Arabidopsis thaliana: one gene and its partners. The protein of the gene in region 1 binds, or shares a complex with, the protein of each later gene. Each region holds a gene or a part of one and is shown in the gene's direction. Other genes may lie near its edges.

The links.
Region 2: AT4G17020 (region 1) and GTF2H2 share a complex: the UniProt entries of both Arabidopsis thaliana proteins name them as parts of the 7-subunit TFIIH core complex.
Region 3: AT4G17020 (region 1) and AT1G18340 share a complex: the UniProt entries of both Arabidopsis thaliana proteins name them as parts of the 7-subunit TFIIH core complex.

What each region holds. Positions count from the first base shown.
Region 1 is NC_003075.7:9,577,181-9,583,423, reverse strand, and holds AT4G17020 (transcription factor-like protein), read left to right. Parts: upstream 1-1,984; 5' UTR 1,985-2,341; coding exon 2,342-2,454; intron 2,455-2,524; coding exon 2,525-2,692; intron 2,693-2,947; coding exon 2,948-3,016; intron 3,017-3,110; coding exon 3,111-3,204; intron 3,205-3,323; coding exon 3,324-3,424; intron 3,425-3,505; coding exon 3,506-3,551; intron 3,552-3,625; coding exon 3,626-3,685; intron 3,686-3,764; coding exon 3,765-3,833; intron 3,834-3,945; coding exon 3,946-4,029; intron 4,030-4,151; coding exon 4,152-4,235; intron 4,236-4,331; coding exon 4,332-4,417; intron 4,418-4,507; coding exon 4,508-4,598; intron 4,599-4,751; coding exon 4,752-4,832; intron 4,833-4,970; coding exon 4,971-5,045; intron 5,046-5,134; coding exon 5,135-5,268; coding exon of another isoform or gene 5,269-5,272; exon of another isoform or gene 5,273-5,357; coding exon 5,358-5,451; coding exon of another isoform or gene 5,452-5,485; 3' UTR 5,486-5,549; downstream 5,550-6,243. Other genes in the region: EXLB1 (expansin-like B1), read left to right, coding at 243-375, 722-831, 963-1,274, 1,410-1,607; AT4G17010 (transcription factor IIIB), read right to left, coding at 5,797-6,051. UniProt on the Arabidopsis thaliana protein: Component of the general transcription and DNA repair factor IIH (TFIIH) core complex, which is involved in general and transcription-coupled nucleotide excision repair (NER) of damaged DNA and, when complexed to CAK, in RNA transcription by RNA polymerase II.
Region 2 is NC_003070.9:1,448,075-1,452,565, reverse strand, and holds GTF2H2 (general transcription factor II H2), read left to right. Parts: upstream 1-1,664; 5' UTR 1,665-1,713; coding exon 1,714-1,989; intron 1,990-2,391; coding exon 2,392-2,853; intron 2,854-2,950; coding exon 2,951-3,329; intron 3,330-3,504; coding exon 3,505-3,653; 3' UTR 3,654-3,935; downstream 3,936-4,491. Other genes in the region: AT1G05060 (coiled-coil protein), read left to right, coding at 1-57, 147-271, 810-901, 1,029-1,115, 1,204-1,311; AT1G05040 (UBA-like domain protein), read left to right, coding at 4,118-4,425. UniProt on the Arabidopsis thaliana protein: Component of the general transcription and DNA repair factor IIH (TFIIH) core complex, which is involved in general and transcription-coupled nucleotide excision repair (NER) of damaged DNA and, when complexed to CAK, in RNA transcription by RNA polymerase II.
Region 3 is NC_003070.9:6,310,918-6,315,875, reverse strand, and holds AT1G18340 (basal transcription factor complex subunit-like protein), read left to right. Parts: upstream 1-1,944; 5' UTR 1,945-2,141; coding exon 2,142-2,172; intron 2,173-2,295; coding exon 2,296-2,384; intron 2,385-2,465; coding exon 2,466-2,748; intron 2,749-3,017; coding exon 3,018-3,064; intron 3,065-3,257; coding exon 3,258-3,295; intron 3,296-3,381; coding exon 3,382-3,427; intron 3,428-3,526; coding exon 3,527-3,580; intron 3,581-3,664; coding exon 3,665-3,733; intron 3,734-3,840; coding exon 3,841-3,917; intron 3,918-4,001; coding exon 4,002-4,097; intron 4,098-4,188; coding exon 4,189-4,264; 3' UTR 4,265-4,433; downstream 4,434-4,958. Other genes in the region: MKK7 (MAP kinase kinase 7), read right to left, coding at 1-190; AT1G18335 (Acyl-CoA N-acyltransferases (NAT) superfamily protein), read left to right, coding at 4,550-4,654, 4,752-4,854. UniProt on the Arabidopsis thaliana protein: Component of the general transcription and DNA repair factor IIH (TFIIH) core complex, which is involved in general and transcription-coupled nucleotide excision repair (NER) of damaged DNA and, when complexed to CAK, in RNA transcription by RNA polymerase II.

The sequences.
Region 1 (6,243 bases):
AAAAATTGAGTTAGCTTTAAGCTTTTTGCCAAGTGGAAAGTAAAAAATAGTGACGATGCTCGATCAATTGTATAATTGTAATAAGCACTCTAGCTGCAGCTATAAATACCCTACTAAGTCTCTCATCTATCTTCACTATCTTTTGTGATAAGAAATTCTATTATCAATTCCTATCATTTGTTAAGAAAAAGAGTTAGAAGTATTAATAATCTTACAATATTTATAGATAAGATAACAACAATATGAAGCATTCTCACGTTTTGCTTCTTCTATTTGTTCAAGTCATTGTCCTTTTGCCTCTCCTTTGTCTATCCGACGATTTTGTTAACTCTAGAGCTACTTATTATGGCAGCCCCGATTGCAAAGCAAATCCTCGTACGTATTAAAATTGTTATTGCTATATACATCGTGTACCTTAATTCTTTTTCATTTTCTTAGTTGTTGTATAGACTTGTACACGTTATATATTGGTAAAAGATACATTGGTGTAATATCTCACTATAAGCCATAACTAATTATTTTTGTTTTATATCTACGTATAGGTTTCTTGTTTTGTTTTATTTTGAAGGTTTATTCAAATTCTAAATACATATATGATTGAAAACGAGTCCACTAAGTGTCCATTAACTGCGTAATTAGTAATGATAACTTTCCATTATGAGAATATACATAATATTTGTCGAAAGAATAAGAATAATTAATTAATTTTTTGATGATGCAGGGGGACATTGTGGGTATGGAGAATTTGGAAGAGATATCAATAACGGTGAAGTGAGTGGTGTTTCATGGCGACTATGGAACAATGGAACTGGCTGTGGTGCTTGTTACCAGGTTATTATATATAGTTATCTACTTATCTCAATCAATATTTCATCAAATATTATTATAGTATATGCTATGTCATTAATTACTAAACTTATATTATGAAAGAAAAAAAAACTTATTTTATGAATTATAAAAAGGTGAGGTGCAAGATACCACCACACTGCAGTGAGGAAGGAGTATACGTAGTGGCTACGGACTCCGGAGAAGGAGATGGCACGGACTTCATCTTAAGCCCTAAGGCGTACGGACGTATGGCGCGACCCGGCACAGAAAATCAGCTCTACTCCTTCGGTGTAGTCAACGTTGAGTACCAAAGGATCCCTTGCCGATACGCAGGGTATAATCTGGTGTATAAGATCCATGAGAAAAGCTACAATCCTCATTATCTTGCCATCCTTGTCTTGTACGTTGGTGGTGTTAATGACATCCTCGCCGTTGAAGTCTGGCAGGTAAATTTAATCAAAGATGTTGAGAAACTTAGATATATGTTTTTGAGGATCAAAATATATAGTTTACTCTTAGATGATTTTGTGAAACAAAGTTAAACGTTATTATATGGTATGCATGTATATGTATGATTTTAGGAGGATTGCAAAGAGTGGAGACGTATGAGAAGAGTGTTTGGAGCGGTTCATGATTTGCAGAATCCACCTAGAGGCACTCTCACATTGAGGTTCTTAGTCTACGGAAGCGCAGGAATCAATTGGATCCAATCGCCAAACGCTATTCCCGCTGATTGGACTGCCGGAGCCACCTACGACTCCAACATTCTACTTACTTAATTGATTCACTTTTCATCAGTGTGTTTTTATCATATAGTATTTATTATGGTTTCTGTATGCAATGGCTAATATATTTAAATAATGCCCTCTAGGACAATATAATTAATGATGATAATATAAATAATCGTAGTAGATTCATATATAATTTATGTATTGTGTCTCACTAAGAAGATTGTAATGGTTTGTATGAGTTTGATTTTGATGGAATAAATCAGTACTAATCAATTTATCAGATGATGATCAAACGTTTCGTAAGCTTTTTTTGTTTACATTTTGGTCAGTCAAGCATATATCTCTCCCTAATCAACCATTTTCATGAAAACAAATTGGCGCGATTTTTGTTATATAGATAGGCCCATTAGTAGTATTCACAAGGCCCATTAAAACTTAATTTATCTTGGCCATCCTCTTCGATCGATTTCGTCAGTTTTCTTTGATTCTGGGTAGTAAATAATCGGGATCAATTGTAGAAGAGCTCATCGAGAAAAGAGAGAACCTAAACTTTAAATTCAATTCTGTATTGTTCTCAAACTCGAACCCGAAACTTTAAATCCTTCCTTATTTGTTTTCTGGAGTTCTTGTTTAGAACTGTTTTGGATTTGTTTTTTTTGAGGAGATGCTTTAGTTAACTAGGTTTGCTTCGAGCTGATCGCTGTGTGGCATAAACCCTAATTTCGTGGAAACTGTGCTCTTTTAGAACCGGTCCAGTGAGTAAGGGAATCCAATTGGTGAAGATGCCGCAAGTTAAGATCATTGCTAAAAATTTCATGGACATGGTGGCGTCACTTCCAGCCATCAAGCTTGACAAACTCTACAACAATGTCTTTATCTGCGAAGCCATTCTCAGGTTAATTTATGTGTCTATGTTGTTGAATTTTGAAAAAATTGAGGATCTTACATTCTTAAGATGGTGTCAGGTCTTTGCCGCCTCTTGCCAAGAAGTATGTATTGCAGATGTTGTACATTGATGTTCCTGTACCTGCTACGATGATGGAGGAGTGGGTGCTCGCAGATGGCACCTCTAAACATAGAGTTGCTATTGATCGACTGATTCAATTAAGGATTTTTTCAGAAATTAGTGATAGGTATGCATTCTTGCTTTATTCTTGATACTGTCATGATTTGACTTATTTCAGTTAGTTCAATACTTCTGTCTATTCACGTTGGAGGGTTTATTTGATATATTTATTTAAAAGAGTGATGGTGGATGTTAACTTGAGCATTGAACCCTATGAGCTTCATCTTATACTTCAATTTACTGTGTTTGGATTGATTATGATTGTATGTGGCAAGATGATAGTTCAGATTTAGTTCTTAAGCTGCTCTTCGTACTTTTGCAGGAAAAGGGGAACCAGCTACAGCCTAAATCCTACATTTCAGAACAATCTTCAGAAACATATTATTTCCGGGTAAAGACATCTTTACATTGACGGTACTCTCCTTTTTCGTTTTTTCTCTAGGCTTTTGGAGAAGATGCTGATGAGCTAAATTTGAATTTTGCAGTGGAGTTTTGCCTAGAGAGCCTATGAACTCCGACAATGCCATTAAACTTCCAAGCCTACAAGAACTCGAAACCTATGCACTTAAGCAATGGGAGGTGTGTGTATTTCCTAATTTCTTATTGATAATACTAGTAAGGTGGAAGTAATTTGTAAAACAAATATCTTTTAATATGAACTTGGTTAGTATCTGATGATGTGTACTTATGTTTGTCAGTGTTTCTTGCTACAACTTATAAATTCGGGTCAAGGTGAAAAACTAACTGGCATCAGTTCATCCATGATGAAAATTTTTCAGCGAGGTTTATTGAGTCAGAGGTAATGTTTTCATACACGTCTATAGATGCATAGTGGTGGCATATAGCCTCCCTATTTGATACACTTCATGTAATATTGCAGAGACAAAGATGGCCCGAGATTAACTGAGAGTGGCTTTCAGTTTTTGGTATGCAAATCGTGAGTCAGTGGTCTATAATTACCTGTATTCATGTAAGTAACCTGATTGACCTCAATTTTCAGCTGATGGATACAAATGCCCAGCTTTGGTACATTATTCGAGAATACATATTGAATGCCGAGGTTTGTATTATTCCTAAGGTTTTGTGAAATTGATATCTCTATTTCGCCGAATGGATAACCCAATGCCAGTGTTTCTCAGGAGCGAGATGTAGATCCAGCAGACTTGATTTCGTTTTTGTTGGAGCTTAGTTTTCATGTTACTGGTCAGGTATAACAGAACTTCACAAAAAAGTCATTTCAAGCGTTCTTGTTCTTGTTTTTACTCTTACTTGATTTAGCGGGATGCTTGTTAATTATTTCGGTGAGCTTACACATTGCAGGCATATAACTTAAATACCTTGACAGAGGTTCAAAACAATACCCTCAAGGACCTTGCAGACTTGGGATTAGTCAAGCTTCAACAGGTTAGACTTAGACCATTTGTAATATTTTTTTTATTACCAAATATCAAAAGAAAAAAAACTTTGCTAAAGTTATGATTATAGAACTATATCACATGCTGAGCCAGTCTTTATGATTATTGAAGGGAAGGAAAGACAGTTGGTTTATTCCTACTAAACTGGCTACAAATTTATCAGTCAGTCTGGCAGATTCATCAGCGCGAAAAGAGGTCACACCTTTTTTATTCCCCTCTTGTCCCATATCTACCTGCTACCAACAATTTTCTTGATTTTGTGTATCGCTGTTGTTTGTTGTTCCTCATCAGGGATTTGTCGTGATGGAAACAAACTTCAGAATGTATGCGTACTCCACATCTAAGTTACAGTGTGAAATTTTACGACTATTTGCGAGGTAGAAGCTCCTGAACATCGACCTGAAACTTTACTCTTCTGTGTCTTAAAATCCTTTAGGTCTAAGTAGTTGGTGCTTCATTATTTCCAGGATAGAGTACCAACTTCCAAACCTTATTGCTTGTGCCATTACAAAGGAAAGTTTGTACAATGCATTTGACAATGGCATCACATCAGATCAGGTACAGTTGGTTTCAGTTGAAAAACATTTTGAAGTTATCGAATACATGATTTTGCCCGGATCCTCACTGTCCTTGAAATGTTGATCAAATTGTTGATGCGTCTCTTTATAGTTTCTGAATAAATATTTTTTCCTTTTCTTTTGATTGTCACAGATTATAACTTTCCTCCAGCAGAATTCTCATCCACGATGTGCTGATCGAGTCCCATCTATTCCAGAAAATGTCACTGATCAGGTTTATACTCTCTATGCCCATCAAGTGTCGATTATACAAAAATGTGTATAGGATTGGTTTATAGAATTGAAAGTGTATACTATCTCTACGTCCTGATTCATCAGGCTTATGTTGAATAAAAATGCATTGTTCTGGCAGATTCGGCTTTGGGAGACAGATCTGCAGAGAATTGAGATGACCCAGGCTCACTTCTATGATGAATTTCCTTCAAAAGTAACAAACCTGAACCCTCTTATTATTTTCTCTTCTCCATAACGCAAAACCGTTATAGTAAATCTCATTAACCAAAATCATGTTAGCAGGATGTGTTTGAGGCAGCTTGTGACTTTGCTCGGGAATGGAGAGGCCTTCTTTGGGAAGACTCTAAGAGAATGCGACTTGTTGTGAAATCCGAAGTTCACAATCAGATGCGTGAGTTTCTTCATACCCAAAGCAGGTAACAAGAAGAAACTCACATTTTCTTCTCGTATTAAAACAAAACATCATGCTTCGATTCTACAAACTATGTCTTTCGTGAGGTTTCAGCAGAAAGAGAAAAAAGAGTAGCCATTTGATGTCTTGTTACTCTATTAGTTACCATCGTTTTTATCCTGCTAACACATGCGCACCCCAAACGTAGGAAAAGTACTTGGTGTTGGTACCCACGAAGTTGAAAGTTGAAACCTTTAAGCTGTAAGACCGATCCATTGTAAATCACAATATACTTTATTAGGCGAAGTTAAGTTTGAAACAACATATATTGACAAAACGTGGTCGTTGGGGATGGTCCAACCAGGGTCACCTCTATAATTTCTTGTACGCTAGACAGAACACAATCTCGGTTTTGATTCTATTCAGTTGACCAAATTTCAAAATTATTAAAACCTCAGCAAATGCGAGGCTACAATCTCAGTTTAATCAACTAAGAGGATGTATTCAGAGACGCTGAATCTATTCTGTGTCAACATGAAGACAAGATCTGACTTCATTTTGCTTGAGATTTTTCGTTGGCTGAGGACTCTGAATCCTGGATCTTATCTCCCATGTTTGCATCTGTAGTCACATTTGCATTTCCACGTGCCCGAGCGAGTTTCTCAGCTTCTTCAATCTTTCGTATAGCTTCCTGTTGTGTTGCGTTCATCATTGTCCCCATCGTTTTCTTCTCTCCTTCGAGCTGAATTTCCATTATGGTACTAGCATGCTTGTCTATCGGTTTGAAGTAGTCTTCAATTTGAGCCTCCTGTATTGGTAAAAGACCCAAAACATACTTAGACTTATATTCTCCTAACACGAACAAAAGTAGAACAAAAGACTCTCTGATTTATGGAACACAGACTCTGGCACTGATTTCACTCTTTTCTTCCAAAAATTTCTGCTTTCAAATATCTCAAACGCCAAAAACTAAAAGCGTTTTCTCTTCTATGAATGCTTT
Region 2 (4,491 bases), on another chromosome or scaffold:
CTTGAATCCTCTCAGAGGTTATGTGTCTCTGCCACAAGTCACTTTCGGCCGTAGAAGGTTCAAATTAGGGTTTTATACTCTGTTTCACTTGATGAGTATTTCAAAATTTTGGATTTGTTGTTAATTTGTGTCGATTTTTATTGCAGATGGGATTTACCGGAATCTGAGAATTCGGTTTTGGCGTCAACAGCTAATGAATTGAGGAGAGACAGATACGGCACTCCTGTAAATCCTGAGAAATTGAAAGCTGCTGGTGAAGGGCTTCAACATAGTATGATCACTTCTCTTCTTTTGTTTATCTGCAAATCAAATCTTTTTGAACGTGGATAATTGGATTTATGGATACAGTTACCTACAGAGGAACATGACTAGATTTGGGTTGTTTGCTAGAGATAGAAGGATTGCTATCTTTACGTGTTCTGTTTTCACTTCCTTGCTTTTGTTAATGTTGATCATGTAAATTGCTTGCCCAAACTTGTCTATTTTACCTTGTTAGGGACTGCAATGGCAGTAATTCTGAAAGGTTTCAGCTTACTAGAGAAAACTTTGGTTTGTTTGGTTATGAAAGCCAAGATTTTCCGTGGCTGAGGGTTCATGAGTGTCTAATGTAACAACTGCTTTCTGGTTGTCTCTTTTTGACTCTGATGACAAATAATCTAAGTATCTCTCTCACAGCCTAGAAATTGTTGATAATATTGCTTAGATTGAGATTCTGTTATTGTCTTTTGTCTTTTAATGTTAATTGATGTCGTGAAGTGTTCGGAAAGTTTGCCTAATCTCGAGCCCTCTGATTTTTCTGGTTTCTGCAGTTGGAAAAGCATTTGCAGCCGCTACTATTATCATCTTTGGTTCAGCCACTTTGGTTTTTGGAACGGCAGCCTCGAAACTTGACATGCGTAATGTAAGATTGCATATGTTTCCATTTTCTTACTTAAATCATTTAGATTAGCATTTCTAAGCATTATTGACTGATCTTGAATGCCATCATCGCCTTACTTGGTTTTATTGTATGATTTTCGTTCTGTTAGGCTGATGACATAAGAACGAAAGGCAAAGATCTTTTTCAGCCAAAACTGGAGTCGATGAAGGAACAAGTAGAGCCCTTAAGAACTTGGGTAATGTTTTACAAAGATACTTGCATCTTCTCAACTGAAGTGGATCATAATCATTAATAGACTAACCCGAAAAGACCATAAATTTCAGGCTGAAAACATGTCGAAGAAGTGGCATATTGAGAATGAAGGTGGTAATACTATCAAGGAGAAACCAATCTTGAAGGAGCTTTCGAAAATTCTGGGACCTAAATCTTAAAAGGCCAAGACCTTTGGTTAATGTGTAACCATGTGGATAGAGAAAGTCAAAGAAGAAGTTCTATATGTTTGTAAGATTCAATAAGATCTTAGGTAAATTATCATATTGTGCTGTAAGAACTAAGAAGTTTCAATGTTGCTGTATAAAGGTTGTATCGAGTGATTTAAGTTTTGTATAATAAAGTTTTTATGAGTTTCAATATCAATGTTTCCTATTGTGTAAGCAAAATAAAATGTTTCACTTCTGATTGGACATGGATTGGTGGGTTAAATATACAGAATAGGAAGTTACAGTCAAAATTGTGAACGTTATAATAAGTAAGGGTTGTTTATGTAAATTTTGGCTTCAGTAGAGTTCTCTTCTTCTTTTTGTAATTAGGTCTCTTAGACGGTGAGGTTAACGATGAGTAATCAAAGAAAGAGATCAAACGATGAAAGAGAAGAAGAGGACGACGAAGATGCGGAAGGTATCGGCGAGTGGGAGAGAGCTTATGTTGACGACCGATCCTGGGAGGAGTTGCAAGAGGATGAGTCTGGACTTTTACGGCCAATTGATAACAGTGCCATTTACCATGCTCAGTATCGCCGCCGTCTTCGTATGCTCTCCGCCGCTGCTGCTGGTACTCGTATCCAAAAGGGACTTATTCGATATCTCTACATCGTCATTGACTTCTCTCGGGTAAATATTTTTCTTTGCAATCCGCCGCTGCTGCTGCTGATTTTGTGATTTTTAGCTTCAATGCCGTTTCCTTTGAGTTTGATGGCGTGAAATTGAGCTTATGTTGCTTTCATCAGAGCTTATATAAAAGAGAAACTATGCACTTTGGGTCACTGATAAGTAACTTTAATGTAATCGTCGTTCTAGTTTTGGAGATCTCTGCTCTTTAGTCTTCTCAATAGGTTCTATAATTGGCTCTGTATTGTTTGCAATGATAATCTTACTCTAAGTGGGTTTGTAGAGCTTAAGGATGTGATCCTTATTCAGATTCTTTATTGAAGGCAACATTATGATTTGGGTTCAAATTTCTCTAGTTCCAAGGTATGCAAAGTCTTACACTTTGGACTGTTTTGTCGTGTCTAGGCAGCTGCGGAAATGGATTTCAGACCAAGCCGGATGGCTATAATGGCCAAACATGTCGAAGCTTTCATTAGAGAGTTCTTTGACCAGAATCCTCTGAGTCAAATTGGGTTGGTCTCTATAAAAAATGGAGTTGCGCATACATTAACAGATCTTGGTGGTAGTCCTGAGACTCACATCAAAGCGTTGATGGGGAAGTTGGAAGCTTTGGGTGACTCCTCTTTGCAGAACGCTCTGGAACTTGTACATGAGCATCTCAACCAGGTTCCATCTTATGGTCACCGCGAGGTTCTGATATTGTACTCAGCTTTATGCACATGTGATCCAGGCGATATCATGGAGACCATTCAAAAATGCAAGAAATCCAAATTAAGATGTTCTGTAATTGGGCTCTCTGCAGAAATGTTCATATGTAAACACCTCTGCCAGGAAACTGGCGGATTGTATTCAGTTGCAGTGGACGAGGTGAGTTTAGCTACCTTCTACTTACACTTGGACCTTTGAAAAACTTGTTTTGTATGGTATAACATTGTGCTTTGTGTGTATTTGTCTTTTCACGCAGGTGCATCTAAAGGATCTTCTGCTTGAACATGCGCCTCCACCTCCGGCAATAGCAGAATTTGCAATTGCAAATTTGATCAAGATGGGTTTCCCACAAAGAGCTGCTGAGGGTTCAATGGCGATTTGTTCGTGTCATAAGGAAGTTAAGATTGGAGCTGGTTACATGTGCCCAAGATGCAAAGCTCGGGTATGTGACCTCCCTACGGAATGCACTATCTGCGGTCTAACACTTGTTTCTTCGCCGCATTTGGCGAGATCATACCATCATCTCTTCCCGATTGCTCCATTTGATGAGGTGCCTGCACTTTCAAGTCTGAATGATAATCGGAGAAAATTGGGAAAGAGTTGTTTTGGTTGCCAACAGAGCCTAATTGGTGCAGGTAACTACTTGAACACCATTTTATAGAGTCTTAATACTGTTGGTTGAATAACCATTTGGTCACTAGACCAGTAGTTGAACTTAAGATACGGTTCACCCTTGTCATAGTATATACAAAGTAACCGATCCATTCACTCAAATATAAAGGCTCATTGGTGCTTTTGTTTTTTGCTTAGGGAATAAACCCGTCCCATGCGTAACATGTCGTAAATGCAAGCACTATTTCTGTCTGGACTGTGACATATACATCCACGAGAGCTTACACAACTGTCCTGGCTGTGAGAGCATTCACCGTCCCAAATCAGTTTCTTTGATGGAAGAATGAGAGAATGAATGTGTTCACACTTCCAATTATAAATCACAATTGAGATGATGAGAGGAAGCAATTTTTTTTGTGATATAGGATGTTGTAATTGGTCTTATGTCCTTAACCAAAATCTTTCTTCTTTTGTGGACTCTATTGCTCTCTCACAATTGATCCAAAACAAACCGACTCAAATTTTCAGAGATAGCATTCTTAATTGTTTGATTTTCTATTTAACTTGGGCTTGAAATTTCTTCACTCATGAGAAAACGAACAGTAGTAATAAAGAATTATTTCGGTGGTAAACAAAAGGAGACCGTATCATCAGTTGTTTGTTGATACTGTCATGACAAGGTCGCAACTACTTCCCTAAATATCTCTCTGTTTGTTAGAAGCTTTTATATTAGATCTAAGTGAAACAATTCTTAGTGATTGTCATAAGTAAACAACGTACTTAATCTTTGAGAAAAGTCCCTAACACCACCATGAAGGAAGAAGATACTAACGTCACTAGGTTCTGCAAGGCAACGTCTGCGTGTAAAGATGCAGCATTCTACTACCTTGAAGGATTCGACTGGAATCTCGAAGACGCCATCTCTGGTTTCCTCGGTGATCAACTTCCTCCGCTCAAAATAAGAGCGACTCCACGGAGGGTGAATGAATGGCGAGAGCGATCTCGATCTCCTTTAAGAAGAAGATACTCTACTACCTCTGTCTCGGAATTTACGCTGAAGATGCGCCAAGATGAGATAACCATAACGAAAAGCTCTGATACGGGTGCTTTGGCCACCAGGTGGGTGATTTAATAATATTAAGGGCTCGGTAATCCAAATCATCTAAAAAGAATGTTTAATCTTGT
Region 3 (4,958 bases), on another chromosome or scaffold:
GGTGGACTTTGTATACGATCCCGCTGCTTCCTCTTCCGAGAACGTGGAGTTTCTCGACATCGGAAGCTGAGATTCCGTTGTTGATGACGGGGGCGGTGGATGAGGCAAAGGAGAACCAGGGGAGGTGAACAGAGAGCGGTGGGACAGGGAGACGGAGGTTGATTTGACGGCGTTTACGAACAAGAGCCATGGAAATAGAAGAGAGAGAGAGAGAGTGATGATGGTGATCGAAGAGTGATGGAAGTTGCAGTTTTTATATGGAGACTTGAGTGGGATTTAAGTGAGGAGCCTGGGAAGCTAATAAATCTTTCCATTAAATGTTAATCACTCTTTTTTGTTCTTTATCTTAATTATTATTTGTTGAGTTGTATCTAAAAATGGCAACTAGTGTGTCTACCGTTTATGTTTATCTTGCACGAGGTTAAATGCATGGGACTGCTATCTGTCCTACTTACCCGGAACCTGGCTATAGTGGCTTGTGTATATTGAGATAAATCTACGCAATAATGATTAGATTTATATACATTTAAAGAGTTTGTTTTAGTGATTTTGAATGGTAACTCAATTATCAAAGTTTGTTACAGCCTGTATCGTGATAATTACAAATTACAAAGGCGTTATAAAAGCGTTACTTTTAACGTTTTGCATTAATGATTAGATTTATATGCATTTAAAGAGTTTGTTTTAGTGATTTTGAATGGTAACTCAATTATCAAAGTTTGGTACAGCATGTACCGTGATATTACAAATTACAAAAGCGTTATAAAAACGTTATTTTTAACTTTTTGTACTACTTATTTATATAGTTTTGCATTCTAATTTACAGCTAAAACAACTTTAAAGCTTTGTGTTACCTATCAGAATCGTTATCTTCACATTCAAACACATAATCCATTGTTGTTGAAAAATAATAATACTTTCAAAACATTTATTTTAGTGATATTAATTTGACTTGATAGTAAGATTATTATTTACTCATAAAGACATTGGTGGAATTTAGTTATATAATTTTCATATACTAAACTATAGGAGATTTTAAAGTTTAATGTGAATTTGTGAGGTTCAATGTACCTCGGAGGCTAAGGACTTCTAATGAAAATGACCAAACAATAAGTTATATTTAGGCCATCATGCAAAAGCTTTCCAATGGCCATCGCCATTAATATTGCCAAGTTAATTATTAATATGATTTTAGTAAAAACTATGATTAGATCTTCAGATTCTTAGTGGACAGTCACACATGACCCTACGGATTACAAGTATTTAGCATGTCGATTGTCATGCGCGTATATATCCAAAGAATACTGAATAAAAATAATATGAAGTCAATCAAATGAATAACAATCAAATTATATGAAGTCAATCAAACCTTTATGAATGTGATTTGCTTCTTTTTCCAACCAAAAAACTTGTTTGTTTATTTGTTAGTTGTTACTCCCAAAAAAATGTAGTAAGCTTTTTATGCCCCATGTATTATATATCAAGACGATCTCCAAACATGACTATAGTTTCATAGGATGGATTGGATATCAGGACATGTGTGAATTTACTAATTTTTAGTATTGAAACAAACAACATTTCAACCAAAATTTTTTACCATTAAAATTAATATATCGACGTCCGATAGTATAAAGCTTGAATAAACTGAATTTCGTATCAGTAGCCAGTTTGAAAAATAAATTTGTTCCTTGAGATTTTGGTGTTCTTTTCCAAAAGAAAGAACAAAGAAAACAAAAGGCCCTTGTAAAAGGCGGTTTAGTTCATAAAGAAAACTGGGCCTATCTAAAAATTTGAACTAATGCCATATTTGGGCTTAGTAAGCCCGGCTTACGATACGACGTTTATAGTCGGATCTGATTCGGATCCAAACCCGTTTGATGGATCCGGCTCCTACCAAATCACTTCAGATTTCTGTATAAGCTAAAAATCCTTGAATTTTTCAGTAAGTTACTATAGCATCCGAGAATTTCATTCTTTAACTCTGGTTCGTAATCGGAAAACTCAAAGACCTGTTGTGAAGATATATTGGAGAAGAAAAAAAAAACGATTTCCCGGCACTGAAATAGCATTATCAGATCTCGTTCCCACCGGGAAGATTTCCCGGCACACTGAAATTCTGACTTGGAATCGTCTGTGAAACTATGCCTGCCATTGCTTCTAAGCAGTATTCAGGTTATTATTAAATTCCTCTTACTTCGAAACCCTCACATTCCTCAATCGTATAAGTATGTAGATTAGATATCCCAAAAACTGGAAACAAGTCTGATTGGCTCGTGATTGTTTTTTTGGTCGCAGACGATGTTAGTCTTCTAGTTTTGTTGCTTGATACGAATCCTCTTTTCTGGAGCACTACATCGATTACCTTCTCTCAGTTCCTTTCTCATGTAAGTGTCTCTAACGAATCTATTGTTTGTTTGTTCAATGCTTCGATTTTTATGCAGAAAGCTTGCTGCTGTTATGTGTAGGTGCTTGCGTTTCTTAATGCGGTTTTGGGGTTAAATCAGTTGAACCAAGTTGTAGTTATAGCTACTGGATACAGTTCTTGTGATTACATTTATGATTCGTCTTTGACATCAAATCATGGAAATTTCGAGAGCAATGGAACTGGAATGCCTGCAATTTTTGGTTCTTTGCTTAAGAAATTGGAAGAGTTTGTTACCAAAGATGAGGAGCTCAGCAAGGAGGAAGTGTCTGAGGATAGAATACCTTCTTGTCTCTTGTCAGGATCACTCTCCATGGCTCTTTGCTGTATCCTCTTGGAAAAGCATATAGCATCATGATAGGTTTCTTGAAGCTATATATAGTACAAACTATTAGGATTTGTTTGCATAAGTTCTGGCAGTGATCTTGAAGCTTAGCTTTCTCTCTAGACTGGGTTAAGTAAGGAACATTTTAGGTTGACATGTTTGTTCTCAGCTAAACCTATAGCATGTCTAAGGCCATCAATGTTATCTGGTAATATATGTATTTGATTTTCAGTCTTCACATTTTGTTGTTGACTTAATTTATGGCTCTAGATATACAGAGGGTTTTCCGTTCTGGACATCTTCATCCCCAGCCTCGGGTGAGTGTTCAGTAGGATATATGTATCAATCAGTTGTCTTGGATAAAACTTTTCATGTTGATTGCTTTGTATGAATCTTCAGCTTAAAGTATTAATGAGAATATAGACTCCTTTTTCTTATGTGTTATCTGTTCTATCGTATACCCCCAAAATACAGAACTGATTGTGCTATTGACGTTTATATGAAATACAGATTTTATGCTTGCAAGGTTCCCCAGATGGCCCGGAACAGTATGTTTCTTCCTTCATTTTTTTTCTACTTGCAAGATTTTGTCTTGTTTGTCTGGTCTCATTAAAAGGTTTTGTCATTCTTTCAGGTATGTTGCTGTTATGAACTCTATCTTCTCTGCCCAACGCTTGATGGTAATCTTCATTTTGATTGGTTCTTTGGGATTTCCGGTTCTTGATGTTCTCTAAATCCAGTATCATGTACCCAAATCACTTCATCAATTGGTTCTTTAGGTTCCCATTGATTCGTGTTACATAGGTGTACAGAACTCAGCATTTTTGCAGCAGGTAATATCATTTCTCCTTTATACATGATTCTAACTCGTCAAACTGGACCTATGCGTCAGCTGTTATCTCCTGGCTTATTTGTAGGCATCTTATATAACTGGTGGTGTACATCATACACCTAAACAGTTGGATGGGCTATTTCAATATCTAACGGTACGCAACTCAAGTCCAAACGCAAACCATTATGTGACTCGTCTCTCATTTAGCGAACTCAATACTCAATGGCTGCTAACTCTGGATTGTTTTGTTTTGCACAAAAGACAATCTTTGCAACCGATTTGCACTCCCGCGGTTTTGTACAACTTCCTAAACCCATAGGTGTAGATTTTCGCGCATCGTAAGTGATCAAGTCATTAACTCTTCAATTAATCGGGTCTTCCTCTGCATATATAACAGATGGTTTTAAGTACAAAATTTGCAGGTGCTTTTGCCACAAGAAGACAATAGATATGGGCTACATATGCTCAGTGTGTCTGTCCATTTTCTGTGAGCATCACAAGAAATGTTCAACCTGCGGGTAAGAGATTTGACCCGTCATGTTCTTTCTCAAGATAACAATCTATCATGTTGTTTGATACTAATATCGAAAAGCTTTTGGAAATTTGCAGGTCTGTATTTGGTCAGTCTAAACTTGATGATGCTTCATCTGCCTCTGATAAGAAGAGAAAAGCTCCTAGTACCTAAAATCATCTTTTGTGCCAGAGAGAAACTGCAAACTTTGTTTAATTGTGTCTTTGCGTTCATTTTCGATAATTTTTATACCATATATCAAAGTGAAATCAATTTTGCAAAGTTTTTGACTCTTTTTTTTTCCTTGAGATAGTACCCGTTGACTTGAGCAAACAAAACAAAAAGGCCTCTAATAGTCCATATAGAAAGTTGGGCTTCTCTATCGAATTTGAACGAATACGACATTTGGGCTGACGTCATTTATTATTGTCGGATCTATTTCGGGTCCAAACCCGTTTGATGGATCCGTCTCCTACCGAATCACTTCAGACGTGGAGAACGAACGAGACAGAGGGAAGAGAATCATCGGTGTGGCGAGCAATGGATTTGAAGAAACGGCGAAAGGTAAAAAAAATCTCGGAAGTAATGTGTATGTTTCATAGCACTCGAAATTTCGATCTTTGATTTTGTTCGAAATCGATAATTGAGAATTGTCGTGCAGATTTTGGAGAAGAAAAAGACGATTCATGACCTTATAAAAAGAGCTTCTTCCATTGACGATCCTCTTTCTCCGTTTGATTCTTTCCGCCGTTACCGAAGAAACGGTAAATTTGTTCTTCTGCTCAATTTTATTTTCGCCAGTTTCTCAAAAATATGGGATTTTGTTTATGCGAACTGATTATCATTGACAATGATTTGATGCATATAA